Linked DNA regions of Mus musculus. The protein of the gene in region 2 interacts with the protein of the main gene of each other region in a pairwise test. Links are inferred from orthologs where the notes say so. Each region holds a gene or a part of one and is shown on either strand. Other genes may lie near its edges.

Region 1 (10,127 bases), on a different chromosome or scaffold from region 2:
ACCAGACAGCCCAACGGCCTTTATTTCCATAGGTGCTTGAGGGTGGAACTCAGTTCTCATCAGGATCCAACAAGTGTCCACATCCCTTGCAGTTTGACCCCAACCACGTGAGTAGTGTCAGCAGACCTGAGTATCCTGAGGGCATACGCCACCTCTGCATTCTGCATGCTAAGAGAGAGCCATGCTTGTGCAAATTCAAGTGTCTGTCCTTGAGAGAGGCAGGCATTCAGACAGATCCACAGAAGGGCAATGCATCCCATCCCGTGTACCCACGGTCCTGCTCTCTGCCTGGCTGTAGGACATGCATTTCCTCTACGTACTGGCAGCTGCCAACCTGTATGCACGGATGCATGGGCTGCCTGGCTCACAAAGTCAGCCTGCACTCAGGGAACTGCTGACGCGGCTGCTAGAGTCTGATTCCAGGCCCCAGAACCTCTTCTCTGCTGAGCATGGTGAGGTCCCAGTCTTGGACAGCTCTTCTTGCCCCTTCCCCACATGGGTCTTCAGCCTGTGCTTAGAAGGAAGATGGGGCCTAAAAGCCAGACAGCCAACTTCCTTTTCTCTGGTCCTCTTTGGTTTTGTTTGTGTGCTCATTTAATTTTTATTTTGTATGTATGAGTATTTTACCTACATGTATACCTATATACCTATGTGCCACTGGTGCCCACAAAAGCCAAAAGAGTTTATCGATCCCCTGAAACTGGAGTTACCATGTAAGCGCTGGGAATCGAATTAGAGTCCTTTACAAGAGGAACAAGTGCTCTTAACTGCTAAGCCATCTCTCCAGCCCTTCTCTGGGCCTCTTACTTTGCTGATTAGTTTATTTCCATCCTCTAGTCCCTCAGTAGGTCCTCTCTCTGCTGCCTAAAACATATCCCTGTTCTCTTGAGAGACTTTCAGAATTTGAAAAAAAAAAAAAAAATTCTAAGGAGTGCCTAGCTGTGGCCCAGGGTAAGGACAGAGCCACGTGGAACCACAGGGGAAGAGTGAGGCTGCAAGGATGTAGATGTCAGCATCAACCAAAAGAGTCCTTAGTTAGACCAAGTGGCGGTGGATGGCAGGTTTGGCAGAGCCCAAGAACGGACACGAGGCTCTGGAGTGCAGGAAATGAGTTAAGGACTGAGCCCGTGCCCTGCTCCCTGACAGGCCAGGAACAGTTGAAGGAACTGCAGGAAACCCTGGACGACTGGAGGAAGGGGCCCCCGCTGAAGCCTGTGCTGTTTGTGAAGGTGGGGTCCCAAGATGGGGTGAAGAACTGGGCTGGTGGGGAGGTAAGGAAGCAGGGGAGTTTGAGAACCGTCAAGGCTGTGGAAGCAGCTCACACCCCTCGCATCTCGGCCACACTGTGTGGCAAAGGCGGGAGATGGTGGCTACCCAACCACAAAACTGTCCAGACACCTGTCAGTGGCCTGCAGGTGGCCATGCTGAGGGATACCACTGCAGTGTGACACTCCTGTGATCTGGGCCTGGCAGGATGATGACAGCAACTTCCATGTGGACTTTGTGGTAGCAGCGACAGACCTGCGATGTCAGAACTACGGGATCCTACCAGTTAATCATGCTCGGGTAACTTCACCCCTTTGGGGCTCAGGCCTAGAAGTGAGAGCCAAACCTTATCCCTGAACCTTGAGCCCAGACCAAATGCCCTGTCCTTGACAGATCAAGCAAATCGTGGGCCGGATTATCCCAGCCATTGCCACCAGTACAGCAGTTGTGGCAGGCTTACTGGGCCTGGAGCTGTATAAGGTGGTAAGCGGGCTCCGATCCCATGGTACCTTTCGTCACAGCTATCTGCACCTGGCTGAAAACCACTTCATCCGCTCAGCGCCTTCTGCCCCAGCCGTCCAGTCGGTGAGCCTCTGATGCCCCCTGTTCCTACTGGGCCTGAATTTTCCCTCTACTTGCCCAAGCAAACAGTTCTCTCTCTAGCTGTGGGCTCTCTCCAGGCCCCAGACTATGGGGGAGTCCTCTAGACTGCATCCAGCGCCCTTCCTGCTATGAAGCTAGACTGGGACCTGTCAGACACAGGAAACAGCCATCAGCCATACCCCCCAGCCTCCCTGCAGTCCAGGGTCTGGGGGAGCTGCAGCTTTAACTCATTAGTGGAGCCAGACATCCCCCATGGCCCCCTCCTTCTCCTTCTCCGTAATATCCTGGTGGGAAGGAGGAGGGAGGGGCAACTGTAGACTCAGCCACAGAAAGAATCTAGCTTCCTTTTGAGGAGCCCTGTTCTGTTCACCTTAAGCCAAGTTAAAGGGCATCAGGCTTGCTACCAGGAGCGTGGGCCTCAGCCCTATGGGACAGAATGTTTATACCACTACATAGGAGTGCACCAAGGTCTGGGCATCCCTGGTATGTGGACATGAATCAGGCTTGCACATCTGTGTGCCAGATGGAGGAACAGGATCTTCCTCAATGTGACTATGTGCGTGTGGGCACATACGTGGGTGCTGTTGGTTGTGTGTGTGTGTGTGTATGTTGGGGGTGGGTTGTTCCCATGAAGACAGGATGGCAATGCCTCCAACTGTGTGCCCAGGCTCTGCCCCAGTTGGCATTTCCCCGAGGCACAGGAAAGAGGACAGAATAAATGCCCTCACTAGAAGAGAGGACAGAGGTCACCAGCTAGCCTAGGGTCCTTCTGGACAAGCACACAGAACCCTTTTGTGAGGTGCCCCACTGTTAACCAGCACAGAGGCTGCCTTTGTCCATAGAATGGGGGTGGGTAAGTGTCCCCATCCTGCCTTTAGCCTAGTCTCAGCTCGACCCCAGTATGTTTTCTGATGGTTGGGAGGGCTGATGCCTGCTACATCATCAGCCCTCAGCTATAGGTACCAAAACTTTTGACCTGGGAAGAAGATGGGACAAGGATAAAAGTTTCTGTAGACTGTATCCGTGTTAGCAGGGACCCTCTGAGTCAATAGGGTTCCACTGTTACCATGCCCTTGGTTTCTGCATGCCGGCGAGCAGTCTGAAGCCCTGTTTGTAAGGGCTGAGTAGCATGAGCTGTATCTCCAGGCTCCCAGCCTCCCCTTAGAGGAACAAGCTGCTTTATCGGAGACTCCAGCGACGCAGCTCCAGCTTCCTCAGGAAGCAGCCCCAGTCTCCCCCTCTCCAGCTGGCCTGTGCGATGGACGTCTGTTTCCCCATACAGGGCCCCATAGCTCCATTTCCTGTGCTGGCCCCAGCCTGGGCGGGGAGGGGGCTGAGACTCTGGGCCCAGATCCCACCTTCCGCCCCCCCACCCCTTGGCCGCAGCTTCCTGCCTCTAGAGCGGCTCCTCCTCTAGGAAAAGCTGCTGGTTAACTGGGCCAGGGGTTGCAGGTTTGTGTGAGAAATCTCTAGATCCCTCTCCTCTCCATCCTGTAGTTCCGTGACCTGAAATGGACCTGTTGGGACCGCCTGAAGGTGCCCGCTGTGCAGCCTGAAAGGACACTGAAGTCACTGCTGGCCCATCTCCAGGTATGCCCTGTCTCCACTCAGCCCCTGGCCCAGCCCAGCCTGGCCCAATGGGCATCTGATGTATACCTTCTAGGAAGAACATGGACTGAAGGTGGAGATGCTTCTCCACCACCAGGCTCTGCTCTATTCTTCAGGATGGTCATCTGAAAAGCAGGCTCAACACCTGTGCCTCAGGTGAGCCGGTCGTAGCCAGGCTCTACCATGTCCCTGGAGGTTGAGCATGGGTGACAAGGTCTTTTTCTCCACCCCATTTTAGGCCCCTCACACCTTCTTGAAGCATTCTTCCACCAAATGGAGCCAACAAATGGGCCTGGGAGGGGGTGGAGCTAAGGGCCAGAGGAAGGGGACTTCAGTAGCTGTCTGCTTGGCCAGCCCCCTTGGCTTCCCATACCCTGCCCAGCCCCCATCTCCCTTCACAGCCTGCTCTCGAGGGACAAACAGCTTCCTGCCTCTTGCCTGCCCCACCAGCTGCTCCTAAAATAGTTTCAGATGTTTCCTGCCTTGGGCCGCTCCTGCTCCTGGTTGGGGCTCTTGAGGGCTCACCAGCACCCTCTTGTCCACACTAGGTTGCCCTCTGTCTGCCTTGACCCACCTACAGAGTCTCCCCTAAACCCCCTCCCATACCAGGGTGACAGAACTGGTTCAGCACGTGACCGGCTGGAAGCCCAAGCCTGGGCTGAAGGTTCTGGTGTTTGAGCTGAGCTGTGAGGGCGAGGAGGAAGAAATGGCCTTCCCACCTCTGCATTATGAGCTGTGACGAGGTAGCCACACCACGCCACCACTTGGCCATAACAAACTCTGCATAAAATTCCTACATCTTCAGCTCACAGCAGATACTTCAACAATAAAAACTTGTTGACGGAAGGCACAAGTGAAGTGGATGGTAGAAAATGAATGGTAAGGTACACACAGGTGATACGGGTAAGACAGGAACCCTGGAAAAGGAGAGGGAACATTCTAGACTGGCCTGTCTTAGCTGTGCTCCACAGGGCCAGAGATACTTCCTGAAGCCTCAGGAGTATGGGACCAGCAGTTTAGGAAAAAAAGCCTTTATTGTCCCTAGCTGGAGGGGCAGGGTCAGAGGTAGCTGACATCATTGTAGATAATAGGTTGGCGACTTCGACAGTTCATGAGGGCTGCAAATCGTGAGATGTCTGCAGGCAGGTCAGGTTCTGAGCGAGGTGGGCAGGACAACCTCTTGCTTGCCATAGCTGTCCGTCGAGCCCTGGCCAGCCTACGCCGTAGCTGCTCAGAGAGACCAAGCAGGAACTGAGGGGGTCGAGCCCGTGCTCGGGGTACATCTCCATCACTCCCCTCACTGGTTGCTTCAGGCAACTCCATCCAATTGTGAACTAAATCAGCAAAACAGTTATCCCCTAGCACCAGGGGCTGCCGACTGCGGCCCCTGTTCAGCAGGGCTGCCGTCCAGTCCTCTGCTTCCAATCCCTGCCAATGTTCCAGGCAAGCATCTGGGGTGGACTTGGGCCTCGGACGGTGGGCAGGAGGTATGTTGGTTACAGCTGCCCTACTGCGCATAGGAATGTCACTGACTGAGAAACGCTGGCTATGAGGTGGACGTTCTCGAGGTGCTTGGCGCTGGGGTACAGACGGCTCTTCCTCTCGCCATGTACTGCCTGACACCTCGGAGAAGCCAGAGTCCCAGTCTAGAGCATGCTCCCTAGGACATCCCAAGGGTAAACCCTTGTCTTCTGCTACCAAGCCTTCCTCCTCTTCCTCTTCTACACAGCAGACAGAGTCCTCTTCCAAAACATCCGAGGCCCTGAACTGGCGCTTTGGCTGTACATTTTGATCAGTTCTGGGTTTTGGTTGCAGTGGGCCAGACATTGGAGGTGAGCCTGTGTCCCGAGCACACAACTGGAGAGAAAGATAGGGCAAATGTTGGTCAGGAATCTCTTAGCCCCTGACTCCTTAGTGTCTAACCAAGCCAGCCCTGAGAACGGAGGTTTCAGAAGGACTTGAAAAACCTCTGGGCAGCAAGGCGGAACTGTAAGCATAGGGCCCACATGGGGGCACTGGCACTCGAGGCTCATGTGGCTCCCATCCGCAGAGCTGGTGGCAGTCCGGCAGGCTGCAGCACGCAGGGCCGGGCAAGTCAGCACGCGCCACCAGGGCGGGCAGGCAGAGTAGAGGAAGGAGGTACAGGCCAGCCCGTGGTAGGGGATGTCCACAGCAGCACAGCACTTCTTTAGGCCCTGGGTGCTCCCTGTCGGTCCCCAAAAGAAACTTCTCTTCCCCAACTCTCCTTCCCCGCCAACCCCTGCCGCTAGCACGGCCAGCTGGGCGCCTGTTACCTGATGCCCAGAACAATTCCCAACCGTCAGAAACCCGAAGCGGGCCATCTGGGCCATCTGTAGCGCGCTACCCTGCCCCCATCCTGACTCAGATGGGTACCCGGAGTCCACCCGGTTGCCGTTTGTTGTTCCATCCAGGCGGCAGCCACGCACCCCACACACATCTTCACAACCACACCCACTCCAAAGACTCACCAGTTCCCAGCGGAGCTGGCTCAGGAAGCTGTCAAGCCGAGCGCTGTGCATGCTGGTGCTGGTGCTGTACACTCTCCAGGTCGGCCGGCTCACCCGCCGATCACCCGCGGGAGCGGCGCAGAGTGGGCCGGGTCGGCCCGCGGGTGGTGGCGTCCTCACCCTTGCCTTACTCTAAGGCTCCTTGCTCTCGGTAGCTCCCGCCGCTGCCGCCCCAACATCTGGCAGCCGCGCCCCGCCCCTCCCCGGCGCCCTAGCCAATGGAGGCGGGGCAGGATGAAGTTGTCCTGCCCCTTTCAGCCCCGCCCTCCAGCCCCCACTCTGCTGGTGGAGCCCGGCTGTAGTAGCACGGGAGACCAGAGTGCAGCTCAGGACCCCTTTATGTCTCAAAAAGTTTAGTTAACCCGGCTGTAACGCAGTCCCGACACGACCCCCTCCCGCCCCCGCACGTTCGTCCCGTGCAATTTGTCCCCTGGTGAAATAGCGGTTTCTTGTACTGGGGCCCGATGCCACACCCACGTGTGGGCACTTTCTTCTTCTTTTTTGTTTGTTTGTTTGTTTTTTGTTTTCGAGACAGGGTTTCTCTGTGTAGCCCTGGCTGGCCTGGAACTTACTCTGTAGACCAGGCTGGCCTCGAACTCAGAAATCCGCCTGCCTCTGCCTCCCAAGTGCTGGGATTAAAGGCGTGCGCCACCACCGCCCGGCGCGCCTTATCTTCTGATTTGACAAGGTTGTGGCCCACTCGGGGTCTGTCCAGGCTGGCCTTGACCATCCCTGGAAATGATAGGACCGAAATTCCTTCCGGCCGGCGAATAGTCAGTGAAGAGCCTTAAGACAGAGAGAGTAAGGGAATGGCCAAGGCAAAATCCCCTCCACCTTCCCTCCGGCCTGATCTGAGCCGAGATAGGCTGGACCGCCCTCTAGTGGGGATCGCGGGGCTATGGTCTGCATCCTCACTACACCCTCACAATGGCATGCAGGAATGGAAGAGGAAAACTGCTCTTTGGCTCGATTGTTTAAAGCCTTTCCCCTGAGGCCACTCCATAACCAGAGGTACAGTCGAACTGAAGACAGGTTGAATCTATCCTCAGACAAAAAATAACAGGAGAACGAGGACAATGAGTTCAGTTAAGGGATAGAGAACTCTTAAAAAGATATGGCTGATATCAGATCAATCCATTTGAGTCCAGTGAGGAAGGGCATTTTAGGTGAAAGGGTCTGCCAATGTAAAGTATATTGAGGGACAGGGCTAGGCAGACCAAACGAAAGGAAAACACAGATGTGTGTGACGGATGGGTCAGGGGTCTGTGAATGGAGAGAAGTCATCAAAACCATAAGAAGACTTAGGGGAGTCTCTGGGCTTTATTTTTGGTACCATAGAGAGAGCATGGAGCTTTTTAAAAGGAATGACCCAGGCTGTTTTCTGCGAGATACAGTTGTTTTAGGAGAAGAACTCTGCAATCAAAGGAGGTTCTAGCCTTTATCCCAGGCAAGGGTGTGTGTCTGAAAGCCTGGTTCTGAACCCAGAGGGTAATCAGAAGCATCGTTCTAGACTCCAGAATCTAGAGCTAAACTCTAGCCTGACTGATGCAGGTAGGTAAAGCATGGCCTCCAAGTTTCCAGTGTGAACAGCTGGATGGATGGCACTGCCATTAAAATCACCCAGGAGGAAGAAACCTCTGCTTCCCCTTCCCATAGACAGCGCTGCCGGTCACGATGGTGACAAAGACTGAAGAGTACACCAAAGCTGGCCTCACAGCTGTATGGTCCGGTAGAAAGCATGTGGGCCAGATCCAAATAGGCCTGGATTCTCTGTAAAACTGGGATAATCTGTGAATTACAGAGCAGCATGGGAGCTAGCTCTGCACAGCTGTTGAAACTGCTGTCTAAATACTTGGAGCCTTTACCCCCTGGGTGTGGTTCCTTGGTTTTAGTTAGGTGTTTGTTTTGTTTTGTTTTTAAGGACTATGAAACCAGCGAAGGGACCCTCAGCTATGATCTGGTCTGCAGTTAGAAAAACATCACAGGAAGGAAGGGGCGCAGGCAGAAGGACAGCTCTGAAAGCAGAATCTTTTGGCTAGATGCTGTAGGATTTATACACATGTAACTAGAAAGATGCTATATGATTTACACACGTGTGACTAGATAAAATTCTTATTTTTTGCTTGTTTATCCCTGTTTTTTTCTTTTTTGTTGTTTTGTTTTTTTTGTTTTGTTTTTTGTTTTTTTTTTTCAAGACAGTGTTTCTCTGTGTAGCAGCCCTGGCTGTCCAGAGCTCACTTTGTAGACAAGGCTGGTCTCGAACTCACAGAGAGCCACCTACTTGTGCTTCCCTGAGTGCTGGCAGTAAAGGTGAGCACCACCAGCATCCAGCTAGATTTTATTTCAATCCAGTAAAAACTGGAAAGAGAGGCTGGAGAAGTGACTCAGCAGTTAAGAACACTGGCTGTCCTTGTAGAGGAGCCTGGTTTGATTCCCAGAAATACTTTCTGTAACTTTAGTTCCCGAGGGTCCTCCTCCCTCTTCCGGTCTCTGTAGACACTGTACACATGCAGTGCACATGTGTATATCAGGTAAGACACTCAGGTAGTTAGAACAAAAAAAATAAAAGAAAATCTGGCTCTTGCCCTCTTGCTCTTGTTCCCTCCCTCCCCCCCTTCCCTTCCCCCTCTCTCCATGTACTCATGGCTGGCCTCCCCCCCCCCTTCTCTCTCCCCCTCCCTCCCTCCCTCCCTCCTCCTCCTCTTCCTTCTTCTCCTCCCCCCATGCCCTGAATAAACTCTATTCTATACTATACGACATAAATAGCATAGTATATACGACCCCTCAGGGGGAAGGGATGCCTCAGCATGGGCCCACAGACACACCCCTTCCCCCACATCATATTGCTTCTCTTTCTGTAATGTGGCTTTTTGGAGAACAAAGAACTGGCAGCTTGGGGTGGGGGTGAGGGGAAAGGGGATGGAGGGACAGGAGAGCCACATGAAGGGACACAACGGCAGGGGTTTGGGGTTGAGTTCAGATGGTAGCTGAGGTTCTGTTCCAGCAAAGGCCAACAGCCTTATGGTATACAAACGTCTCTGGGTCTTTATTACTAAACCTCAAGCAGGATTCCCAGAAAAGCCCCCACACTGCTCAGCAGTCACTTCCAGGTTCCAGAACTCAAAAATTAAATGTTTACTGGTTGGCTTTTTTTTTTTTTTTTTTTTCGAGACAGGGGTTTCTCTGTGTAGCCCTGGCTGGCCTGGAACTCACTCTGTAGACCAGGCTAACCTCAAATTCAGAAATCTGCCTGCCTCTGCCTCCCAAGTGCTGGGATTAAAGGCGTGCGCCACCACTGCCCAGCAAATGTTTACTGTTTAAGCCACTCAGTCCATACTAGTTTCTTATAGTAGTCTTGAAAAATACTATGTTAAAAATGCTTTGGGAGCCGGGCAGTGGTGGCACATGCCTTTAATCCCAGCACTTGGGAGGCAGAGGCAGGCGGATTTCTGAGTTCAAGGCCAGCCTGGTCTACAGAGTGAGTTCCAGGACAGCCAGGGCTACACAGAGAAACCCTGTCTCAACCCCCTCCCCCACACACACACACATCTAAGCTGGGCATGATGGCACATACCTTCTTTAATCCCATCACCCAGGAGACAGAGGCAGGCAGATCTCTGTGAGTTCAAGACCAGCCTGGTCTACATAATGAGTTTCAGGACAGCCAGGGCTATGTAGAAAGACACTTGCCTTGAAAAAAAAAAAATCTTCAAAAGAAAAAAAAAAAAAAGAAGCAAATTCTCCTTGTAGACATGTGAATTTTTTTTAATTAATTAATTTATTTATTGTATATGAGTACACTGTAGCTGTCTTCAGACACATCAGAAGAGGGCATCAGATCCCATTACAGATGGTTGTGAGCCACCATGTGGTTGCTGGGAATTGAACTCAGGACCTCTGGAAGAACAGTCGGTGTGCTCTTAGCTGCTGAGCCATCTCTCCAGCCCCCGACATGTGAATCTTGAGGAGAAGCAGGGTCCACTGCAAAATGTGTGAGTGCGGAGCTCAGGAGAGAGAAACACTGAGGTGGAGCAGAGTGGAGGGTAAAGCCAGTGGGTGGCATCTTAGGCCATGGCCTTGGAGGAGACGGAGGTGGAGAATGTAGACAGAGGAGGGGAGAGG
Region 2 (10,571 bases):
AGCCATGACTTTCAAGCACATCTATGATCCTCACTTGACCATAATCACACACTCTTGAGTATCCTCACGTACCTTTAGTCTTTTTGTATCTATTTACTTCCATCATCCACAACAGTCCTGCAGGCCCAGCCACCCCCCTTTGATATAATTATCTTCTACTTTAATATATAGTAAAATAATATGTTCAATAATAATGATGATGATAATGATGATAGAACCATTTGGTTGCATTCTACTAATTCCCCTATAAAAACTGTATCATAGATTTGGGAAGGAATAAAACTATATAATAGACTTGGGAGGAGAATCACTATTTCATAATGTTTATGTTTCTGAGCACAAATAAGGAATGGTTTTCTCCTTCCTTGTTTCTTAGTTTTATGCATCTTGAGAAAAAAATTTCACAGATTTCTGCATAAATATTTACATATTCCTTTTTACACCCAGGTAATCTACCTATGAACAATTCCTATTTTTTATAAATAGTTTATATACTCATGGCTGCATGAATAGTATGATTTTTCAATATGTCTTCATCATAAAGTGGTGATATTTGGTGTAGCCTTTCACTTTTGAGATGTATTTTATAATCAGCCATATTTCTTAAGTCATTTAATTAGTTTCTTGGGTTTTAATTCATTCAACTCTGGCCCAATCACTTATAACTAAAAAATCAGGGCACGCTCTGATTTTTGGCTACTTGCATGAAAATTTTCATTTATGAATACAGATTAAATGATATTTTATTATTTTATAGAATAACTTTTCAAGAGGATATAAAAAGGATGTGAACCTACAGCTACTTTAGGTATCAAAAGAATGTGGCAGATTCTTACACTGCACTGTGCTGACTTTTCTCAAGCGTACAGTGTTTCCCAAACAAAAGAATTATGTAAGACAAACTAAACAACAAAAGCATGCATATATAAAAATTTTGACTGGAATATACCAGGTGCTTTTTCTCAAATAAAAATCAGTTCCTCTCTTATATCAATCCCAACAACAAAGAGCAAAGTAGTTTCAAAATAAAAACAGAGCTCATATAGATTGGTTCAGAAACTGCACATTCTTCTGAAAAAGAAAAAAACATCCTTTTTTCCTTTTGCTAAGCATAAGTGTCTTATCTTGAAAGACTCCTTAATGATAGATTTATCAAATCATCAACATACTAATGATATATGTCATGTGATGTGTTCTTGGGAAGATTGGATAATCCCAGTGAAGATTCTGAGGAAGATCTTAAGAGAGTTTGGTGCACAATCCAATATCAGTAATTAATTGTATTATTGTCACATAATGTGATTATTTATTAGTTTCTAGAAGGCTAAAGACCTGGTTTGCTGTTGTCTGAGACTGAGCATGACATCACACCCATGTGACACATATTTGCAAAATATTTATTGATGTAGTTTTCCAAAATTCTCAGTTGCTAGCAAATACTCATATGCAGTTAAGTGTTAGCTAGCTTAAAATGGATTCTTAGAAAATGCATTTATTAAAGTCAAGAATGCTCCTCTTTTAAAGTTAGAATGAGGTTCTAAACTGCTCTTTTCATACTAGTAAGAAAAAGTTTCTAAAAAAATAATGTCTTCAAATTAGTACAGAAAAATGCTATGATTCAGAGCACTCCTTCCTTCACTCATCCATCAGACACAGATTAAGCAACTTCTGCATACAAGAAACAAAATTAATGGACATTCATAGGAAGTAAAAGACCAAGTAGGTAAACATAAATTATGACAGAAACTATTACCAAAGACAAGAAAAAAAAGTATTGCGAGAGCTAAGATGATGAGGAAGAGGTAAAGTAGGTTGAATTGCAGAGCAAAAGAAATGAGATATTGGACACTTATGACAGCAGGTCAAGGTGACAGATCCAAGATGCCCATAATGAGACTGAATAAATACGGTCCATCTCTAGATTTTCTGGATGCCCACAATGAAGCTGGACAAGTTTGGTCCATCCCTATCATTTCTGGAAACTGTAACAAATGTCTAGGTAGAATTTTATGCAAGGAATTGATATCACCCTATTTTCTGTAATAGGTTAGGGAACAACCAAGAAAAAAGAATCTTCTTAGGAAGTTGTACTCATGATCTAGGGAAGAGAATATGGCTTTGTCTTTTATAGTAGTGTCAGAGATGGCAACATGTATTTTAGAAAAAGATACCAAAGCTTCAATTTTTAAGACTATGTGGCACTTTGGGCTGTTCAGGGCAAAGGAAATGGAAGTGTCAAAGGTGATGCCTGCTATTCTGCTTAAGTGATCTTCATAAACTGTATACCATTTATCACAATAAGAAAAGCAAAGCAAAGCTGTGGTATTAGGGGAATCTAAGTGACATTACTGGACAACAAAATCCAGTAGAGATAATCCTGTTAGGGTTCTCCTTGTTTCTTAACCTATGGTACCTAGTAGGTGCATTATTGCCCTGATATAAAGTAAGTCCATTGTGTATGAGTGAGTGAGTGAGTGAGTGTGTGTGTGTGTGTGTGTGTGTGTGTGTGTGTGTGTGTGTGTTGTGATGTGGTGTTTACAGTTTAGGAAGTAATGGGTTTTCGTGTAACTTTTCTAGAAGGTCTTTGATGCTAGTTATTCCTCCCCATACCTTCTGTTCTGCCTTCCTACCCAGGACCAGATATCACCCTCCTAAAACTCAGTAATCATTGAAGAAGGGGAACAGAGAAGCTGTGAGTGACAAGGAAACAGCCCTTTTCCTGGCACAACAAGACAGTTGCACCTATGAACTTGCAGCTATTGCAGCAACAGGAACAAGACCTGCAAACGCTCAAGCCATGAAGTGGGGAAATGGGCAGAGTCCCAGCCCTGCCTGAGGAGATATTGGAAACTCTCAGTTGCTGACAGAAGTAATGCAGTTTTCTTAAATGGTGTGGTGTCTGGTAGCTGTAAACTCTCCAATGCACAGCAACACACCCAATATATAGGCAGCGTAAATTAGACTTCAAGGGTTATAAAAAAATTGGAACAAAAAATTTGAGTGGGAATGCTATGGGGATTGGATCTAGGAGGATTGGTTATAGTCAAAAGACAGTGTGTGGAATTCTTGAAGAACTAATGATTAGAAATCATGAGAACTAATTTTTTAAATCCCCCACAAAAAATAAAGTGATAAAGAAGGATGAGGAGGATAAGGATGAGGATGAGGGGGAGGGGGAGGAGGAGGAGGGGAGGAGGAGAAGGAGAAGAGAAGAAGAAGAAGAAGAAGAAGAAGAAGAAGAAGAAGAAGAAGAAGAAGAAGAAGAAGAAGAAGAAGAAGAAGAAGAAGAAGAGCTATAAACAGTTGAGATAACTCAGGAGGTAAAAGGTGTTTGTCATCAGACCTAATGACCTTAATTCAATCCTTGGAACATACATAGAGAAGGAGAAAAATTATTTCTGCTAGTTGGCCTCTGACATCTTCACATGTGCTACAACATGTACATACATCCCACACACAGAAACACATAGTACATACATATACACATACACATACACATATACATATACAAACATGCTTTATAAATACCACCCTCCATTGGATGGCCCTAAACCCATGAGTCTATAGGCAGCCCAAACTCTCTCTTGTCTCTCTCTGTGTCCCTGTATCTCTGTCTCTCTATGTTTCTATGTCTATCTCTATCCCTGTGTGTGTGTGTGTGTGTGTGTGTGTGTGTGTGTGTGAGAGAGAGAGAGAGAGAGAGAGAGAGAGAGAGAGAGAGAGAGAGAGAGCATAAATTTAGAAGGAACATGGAAGGATTTAGATAGAGGAGTGACAGAGTGAATAAGAAGAAAATACATTATGTGCATATAAGAAAGTCTCAAGGAGCTAATAAAATGTATATCTATAAATAAAAATAAATATATTAAAAAGAAGAAAAGGTGTAGGATTTTCATTTTTTTGCTGTTATGTTGTAGGTGTTGTTGATGATGATGTGTTTTGACTTAGTAATATAGCCCAAAAGGGAGAAGACGTATGAAATTCCTCAGCACGTATAGAAAGCCTAAGTCCCACTTTGTTTCAGTTTTCATGTAAGTGACTCATGGTGACGTGTCTATCACCCTTCCCTTCACTGTCACACTTGGGAACACAAAATTCAGATAAGTTAGTTACATTAAATATCCCATGCCAGCAGGGTTTTTGAACCCATACTATTCTTCATATTCTGAAACTTGATGGCATAGTATTGATCCTATCATTGTTATTAGAAAAGTTAGTAAAGTAAGTTAAATTTTCTCTCCCCTAAACTCAATGACAACCCTGAACTTGTCCATGTGACCTACTTTACAAGTCTGATCTTTGCAGTTGTAATTGAATTAAGACAAGGCTATAGTTAGCTCTAAATGATATAGGAACAGTGTCCTTACATAAAGACTGAAACATGGACAGGAGAACAGACACAGAGAGGAGAACACATGGACATGAAGGTAGAAACAGAATAACGTGATTGGGGTAAGGTATGTCTAAGACTATAAGAATCACCTTCTCCTAAGAGCATCAGAGGATTGCCATGCTAACACTGAGATATTAGACAGAAAATACCCAGATCTGCATCAATAAATTTCTACTTCTTTAAGCTACCAAGTTGGGGGTGTATGGCTATGTCAGTGCTAAGAAATAAAACAATTTGGAGTATTTCAGTAAAAGTAAATTGAATTTGACTTGCATAGCAAATACATATAACATGGGTTCCAAACACATACATGTCCTTCTCAAAGAGATTTCCCCATGCCCAGTTTCTTTGTATTATTATTAATGTCTACATCTATCCATTTATGTGGGCTTTGCTTTGTGAATCACAAGTCTTTGTTGCTGATACATTAAATCACTTCCACAAAATCCCACACCTAAATACGGAGGAACCAGAGTTCAAATTTAGCTTTATCTCATCACTAAAATGACACTGTATTCCAGAACATCTGTCTCTGGTGCCTGTCCATTGCAGCATATTCTGAGGATGTAGGAAAGGCATTGGCAACCTCGGCTTTCAATGCCTACAATCAAAACTCACGTTTGTTAATTAAATGATAAGTTGCAAGGACTGAGTACAATCAATCTCTTATTCACAGAGGAACACGAAGTTTATTCTACTACAAGTATTGTCAATGAACTTGCCATTAGCTTCTACAGCTTTCATTAGAAGTTCTGCTTTGCACACGTGTATTCAAAGTCAAGGTGTTATCAGATTGGACACTTATAGCTTTACTCTACTTAAATTCATTTCCCTCCTGCAGTCTCTGTTTCATTATCACAATACTGACTCATTCTTGCCACCTAAGGAGATCATAAGAATAAATAGTGTAAGTGCAGAGGAAAGTATCTAAACTTCATATTCACAGACAGATGCCCAGCCTGAAAAGATAAAACAGGGGATGAAGGTGTGTTCTAAATTTACCTTTCCTCCCTCTCAGGGGGCTATGCTGCTAATCATAACAGATACAACTGTAAGGTGTCACATCTGTTGTTGCAGAATGTCAACTTTAAGAAGGCTTGTGTAGGAGGGACTTCTTCAGGGAGTAATGTGTCCATCTGTAAATTAAAGATGCTGCCTTTACACCAAATGCCACAAGAGGGTCTCTGATGTTTTGTGAAGTACCTATTTCCCCAGAAGTGTATCCAGTTTTCCAAGTCGTTATCAATTATTGGCCAAGACATTTTTTTCTTTACTACTCTAATATTTAAAAGATCTGTTCAGTTCTTTGAAAGGTTAGGGCTCCCTTAATTGAGATATGAATGCTGGCAAATTAACTTCTACCCTATCACAATGGAAAGCTCCAGACACACTCGGTTTCAAAACGGATGCTCACATTTGTGCCCTAAACTGGACACTTGACAGTCCTGAGACTTTCCAAGTTTATCCTCTAGGAGACTGACATTGTACAGAATTTTAACCAGAGTTTGGAAGTGATATTCTCTTCCACATTCTGTCCACCAATGTTCACAAGCAGAAGTTCTTTCCCAATCCATTGCAACCCACTAAGCGAACAGAGACAAACAACAAAGGAAAACACAGTCCCATAAAGGTTCCGCTATTGCATCTGGTGGTCCACACCTGCTAAAAGACAAAAACCATATGGGAACCCTGCCCTGGCAATGCATCCAGCACTCCCTGGGAGCAGCAGGCACTGTCGTATCACCGGCAGGGCGTGCGCGAGTGCATACACAAAGAACTGCTGCTGGGCTTGCTAGCCTTTCGGGGTACCAGCAGACTCCTAGAGCTGGCATCCAGGGTGATCTCCTACGCCCTCCATCCTAGCATAAGAGCGCTATCCTTTATTTGACCGGTGAAGAGCCCAAGCTGGATGATATCGCAAAGATTGGGGGTTGGGGAGTGGGCGGACCCTGGATCCCTTGCCCATTCTCAGAGGTCCCCAGCCTTTGGCATCTCCTAGGAGATGCACAATCAATTGTGCTGTCATAGAGGTCTCCTTTCGCATCCTCTCTAGGCAAAGCCAGATGCCCGGTGTAGCAACCGTGCGCATCTTGGCAAGCGCCCCTTCTGGAGCCGCTACCCATAAGCCGACCTGCCCGGTGCTCCTGCCTACCTGGTGGCTGGCTGTCAGCAGAGAAGTCGCGGTACCTCATCTGCTTCTCCGCTGCTGCTACATCTGTTATATCGCTCCAAGCGCCATGTTCCTGCTCTCCACGGGCGCACGCCAGGGAACTACTACGGCTGGGAAGGGGCAAGGGGGGCGGGGGCTAGAGGAGGGGGTGGGGGCAGAGTCAAAGCTTTTTACTCTCCTCCCAAACCTCTCCCAGCTACTGAGCATGCCCAAGCCGCCTGGCTTCGCCCCTAGGAGGACTGTCCGCTGAGACCACTCAGCTGCTCCGGGTTTTAGGAGCAGCCCGCTGTAGGAAAGCTGTAGCAATTGAGGGGGGTGAAAGGGGGAGTGTGGAGGGAGTGTCTGCACGCCCGAGCTGGAGAAAACAGCCAATCGGATCACACTTTCCTTCTACCATCCCCCTGCGGGCTACTCCCGCATACCCCTCCCTGAACATCCCAGTTTGTCCAAATTTTCTATAGGACCTTTGCAAAGCCGCACTACATCAGTATGCTAGCTAGTCTCTTTAGCATCACCTGGTCCTGTGCTTCGCAAACTTTAATGAGCCTTTGATTTAAAATACAGATTTGGATTCAACTGCCTGGTCCTGAAAGTCCCCGTGCCATTCGGCTGGTCCTCTGAAAGGTCAGGAGGTGCAAGAATCCAGAAACATCTTCTATAACCTCTAATTGGTCATGGAGTCTTTAATCAGCAATGGACTTATCAGCCTAAGGAGTTACCTTCAGCTTTTGATGATAGCAGCGGTTCAAGGGAGGATGTCCCCTGGGATGTCATGCCTTTCCTGGAAAGAGGCTTTGTAGGGCACACACTGAAGACAGCATAAAACCATTAGTTTGATCTAGAATTAGGAGTTTCGGAGACGATGGGCTCTTGGATCAATTCACAATCGCTTTGATACTTGAGACTAGGAAACTCGTGCTCAGTCAGTTGACCTGTTGTTGACCTGTTGTCCAATTCAAGCCTGAACCAGTCTATCCTGACTGTCTACCTGTCTTCTCTGAGCCTGGGACAAAACCTGAGAGGTTCGATGTAATGTCAAGGCTGGGCTTGACAGTTGAGACTGACTGGTCTTTTGAGAGCAAAAGACCACAGGAGGTATCGGTAATATTGAGATTAGTCACTGCCCACATGAAACCAATCAATTCACAAAACCAACCAAGAGACTTTAATCTTGGTTTTGAGAGAGCCACATCCTTCTTCATCCTCAGAGATCTCTAGATTGTCCTTATGAGAATATAGTGTCTGATCCTATAACTGAATAAGTCGGTTATAAAACAGGGCCAGTTTGCTAGTGAATAGTAGATGCTTATCATCTCCTGTCCCCGTGGCTTATCTGTTCACACACTACTTTCACTGAAGTAACTTATATATCAAAACAGAATCATGGCAGGAGCTGGTGCTAAAGATATTGCCACAGCTGTTAAGAACTCATGTTGCCCATCCAGAGGTCCCAGGTTCAGTTGTATAGGGTGGGTCCGAGCTGTACGTGACTCTGACTCCAGTGGATCTCACACACTCCTCTGGTATCAGTGGTGCCTTTTTCCACCTGGTACACAAAGAAGCATCCAGACACATATATACACATAAAAATAAATCTTTAAAAAATAGATCACAGAACAGATAGATGGTCACTGTTCTCCACTGATGTTTCTAAGTGTGAAGGACATATGTATCTTGGCCTATCAAATCCTATTTTTCCCATTCATATGACTAAAGTCAATAAATTTATCAATGCTTGAAACTGCTCAAATAGCCCTACCTCACCTCTCACCAACTGGATTGCTGTCCCATGGCCATTGGCATAATATTTTCTATTCTTTACTTTCCCCTATGTGGACTTGGACAGATGCAAATGACAGGAAATATTTTATTAAGATGAAGTTTACTTGTAGTTTTAGTATCAATAAAAAGTGCACACACTGCCAAAGTGAACTATATAATCTGAATAATATAATTTTATATTATAATTATGCCATCATGAATAGCCATGAAACAACTGATAGAAAAAAATCATAAATGAAAATCTGCTCCAAAGGAAACTACCAGGCTTAGATGGTTTCACTAGAGAAACGCTCTAAGTAGTGTAAAATACAAAACAACAAAAACAAAACAAAAACTATTTTCACACAATTATTTCCCAGAAAGCAAGAGAACACATGGCTCAACTAATTTATGAGGCTATAATTTCCCTGACACCAAAACCAAATAAACTTAGTAGAAGAGAAGTCCTCTAAACAATATATCTTATAAACCTACAAACAACCATTCCTGAGAGCTGCAGGAAGGGCTGAGTATCCTAGTACAGGTCCATGGTCCCAGCTACTCAGGAGGCTGAGACAGGAGAATCATGAATTCAAAACTTGTCTGAACTAAAGAGTGACTTAAAGGATCATTCCCACCCAAATGAAGAAGGTACTAAAAGCTTTTAGCTAACACTTATAACACCACACATTTTATCCCAAACACCAAGAAAAAAATATTACCTTGAATCTTACAGTGCATAGAGAAAATTATATATTATCTCTACATAGATGTATGTCAGGAACTCAGGGCTGTCTTAATATGTAAATAGGCATCAATATAATCCATCATACAAACTCAAAAATCCTATCAAATTATACAGGAAAGCATTTGAAAAAATGATACCCATTATTGAATAAAGACTTGAAACTCATCAGGAACTGAGGGAGGGAATTGCCTCATTTATAAAAGGCATCTACAAAAAACAAAAACAAAAAACAACAACAAAAACAAACAAAAAAGCAAACAAACAACAACAACAAAAAACCTCTAGTGAACTTGCCATTTAAAAAAGAAAGTAAAAATAGTTTCCTCCTAAGATTCAGGAAAACTAAGAAGAGACTCATCCATCATCTCTTTCAACATATTACTAGAAATTATAGCAACTGAAATTAGGCAAGAAAAATAAAAGACCCCGAGTTATGAAGGAATTAGTAAAATACTTTTTACATGCATTCCACTGATTGTGCTCTTGAAAAGCTAACAAGGAAGCTCCAAGACAGCTCTTAAAACAAAAAGGTAAATTCTGTAACATTCCCCCAAATTAGCTGTATCTCTAGATATAAACCATGAACATTTAGAAAATTACATGAGAAACACAATAACAAAAACAACAGAATGCTAAGACGATTTAATAAAATCATTCAGGGCTCATATTCTTAATATTCTTAAATTACAACATACTAATGAAATCAAAGACCCAATATATAGATATTGTACATTCATATATTAGAAAGCTCAACCTAGTCAAAAAAAATGTACTCTTTATACTAAATGAAGTGACATTTTCAGTGACATTTCTATATTAACATTGAAAATTTTTGGTGACCTGGACAACTTTATCTCAAGTGTATTTTGAAAGATAAAGGTTCTAGACTAAACAGTACTGAGATTGTAGTTGTCTTAACTAGAAAATCATGTGAGACATTTAGATACCAAAATAGAAAACCCAGAAATAGACTCACACAAGCATGAACTATTACTATTAACAGCTGAGAGAAGCCATTCCGAGAACAGCATTCCTGCCATATGCTGCTGCACCAAGAAGATGTGCATGGACAATGAAGAGCTTGAACCTCCTATAACTAGGAGCATGCGCAGCTGAAATAGTGAACATCTTCCTCTAAGATCGGGACAAAAGGATGAAAACAAAGACATCAATTTTACTACTTCAAAATTCTGTGTGGACAGCCAGGAGGATTAGAGTCCAGAATTGGAAAAAAGAAAAAAGTAAACAACTTTTTTTTTCATAGAGTAGGATCTTATATATAGAAAATCTTAAGGTGTGCATGCACATGCACACATGCACATGCATATACACAGAGACATATAGACACCTTAAAATTAATACAATTGCTAAAAGGTTCAGGATATATAATTAACCCATAGAAGTCAGTTGTATTTTATATACTGACTGTGAACAACTTAAAAGGAAAAATTTTTAAGACAATCAGCTTAATAGTAGTTTCAAGAAGAATAAGACACTTA

The links. The genes of interacting proteins can lie anywhere in the genome.
Region 1: the proteins of Pak7 (region 2) and Inka1 interact in binary tests that used the Homo sapiens proteins (3 or more experiments, as listed by UniProt). The two-hybrid records come from large-scale screens. The link is inferred for Mus musculus from reciprocal best matches to the Homo sapiens genes PAK5 and INKA1.

What each region holds. Positions count from the first base shown.
Region 1 is NC_000075.6:107,979,731-107,989,857, forward strand, and holds Inka1 (PAK4-inhibitor INKA1), read right to left. Parts: upstream 6,187-10,127; 5' UTR 6,018-6,186; coding exon 5,967-6,017; intron 5,335-5,966; coding exon 4,537-5,334; 3' UTR 4,493-4,536; downstream 1-4,492. Other genes in the region: Uba7 (ubiquitin-like modifier-activating enzyme 7), read left to right, coding at 33-107, 299-452, 1,147-1,229, 1,474-1,566, 1,660-1,851, 3,367-3,459, 3,533-3,633, 4,087-4,216. UniProt on the Homo sapiens protein: Inhibitor of the serine/threonine-protein kinase PAK4. Acts by binding PAK4 in a substrate-like manner, inhibiting the protein kinase activity.
Region 2 is NC_000068.7:136,381,109-136,391,679, forward strand, and holds the start of Pak7 (serine/threonine-protein kinase PAK 5), read right to left. Parts: upstream 6,860-10,571; 5' UTR 6,586-6,859; coding exon of another isoform or gene 6,546-6,585; intron 1-6,545.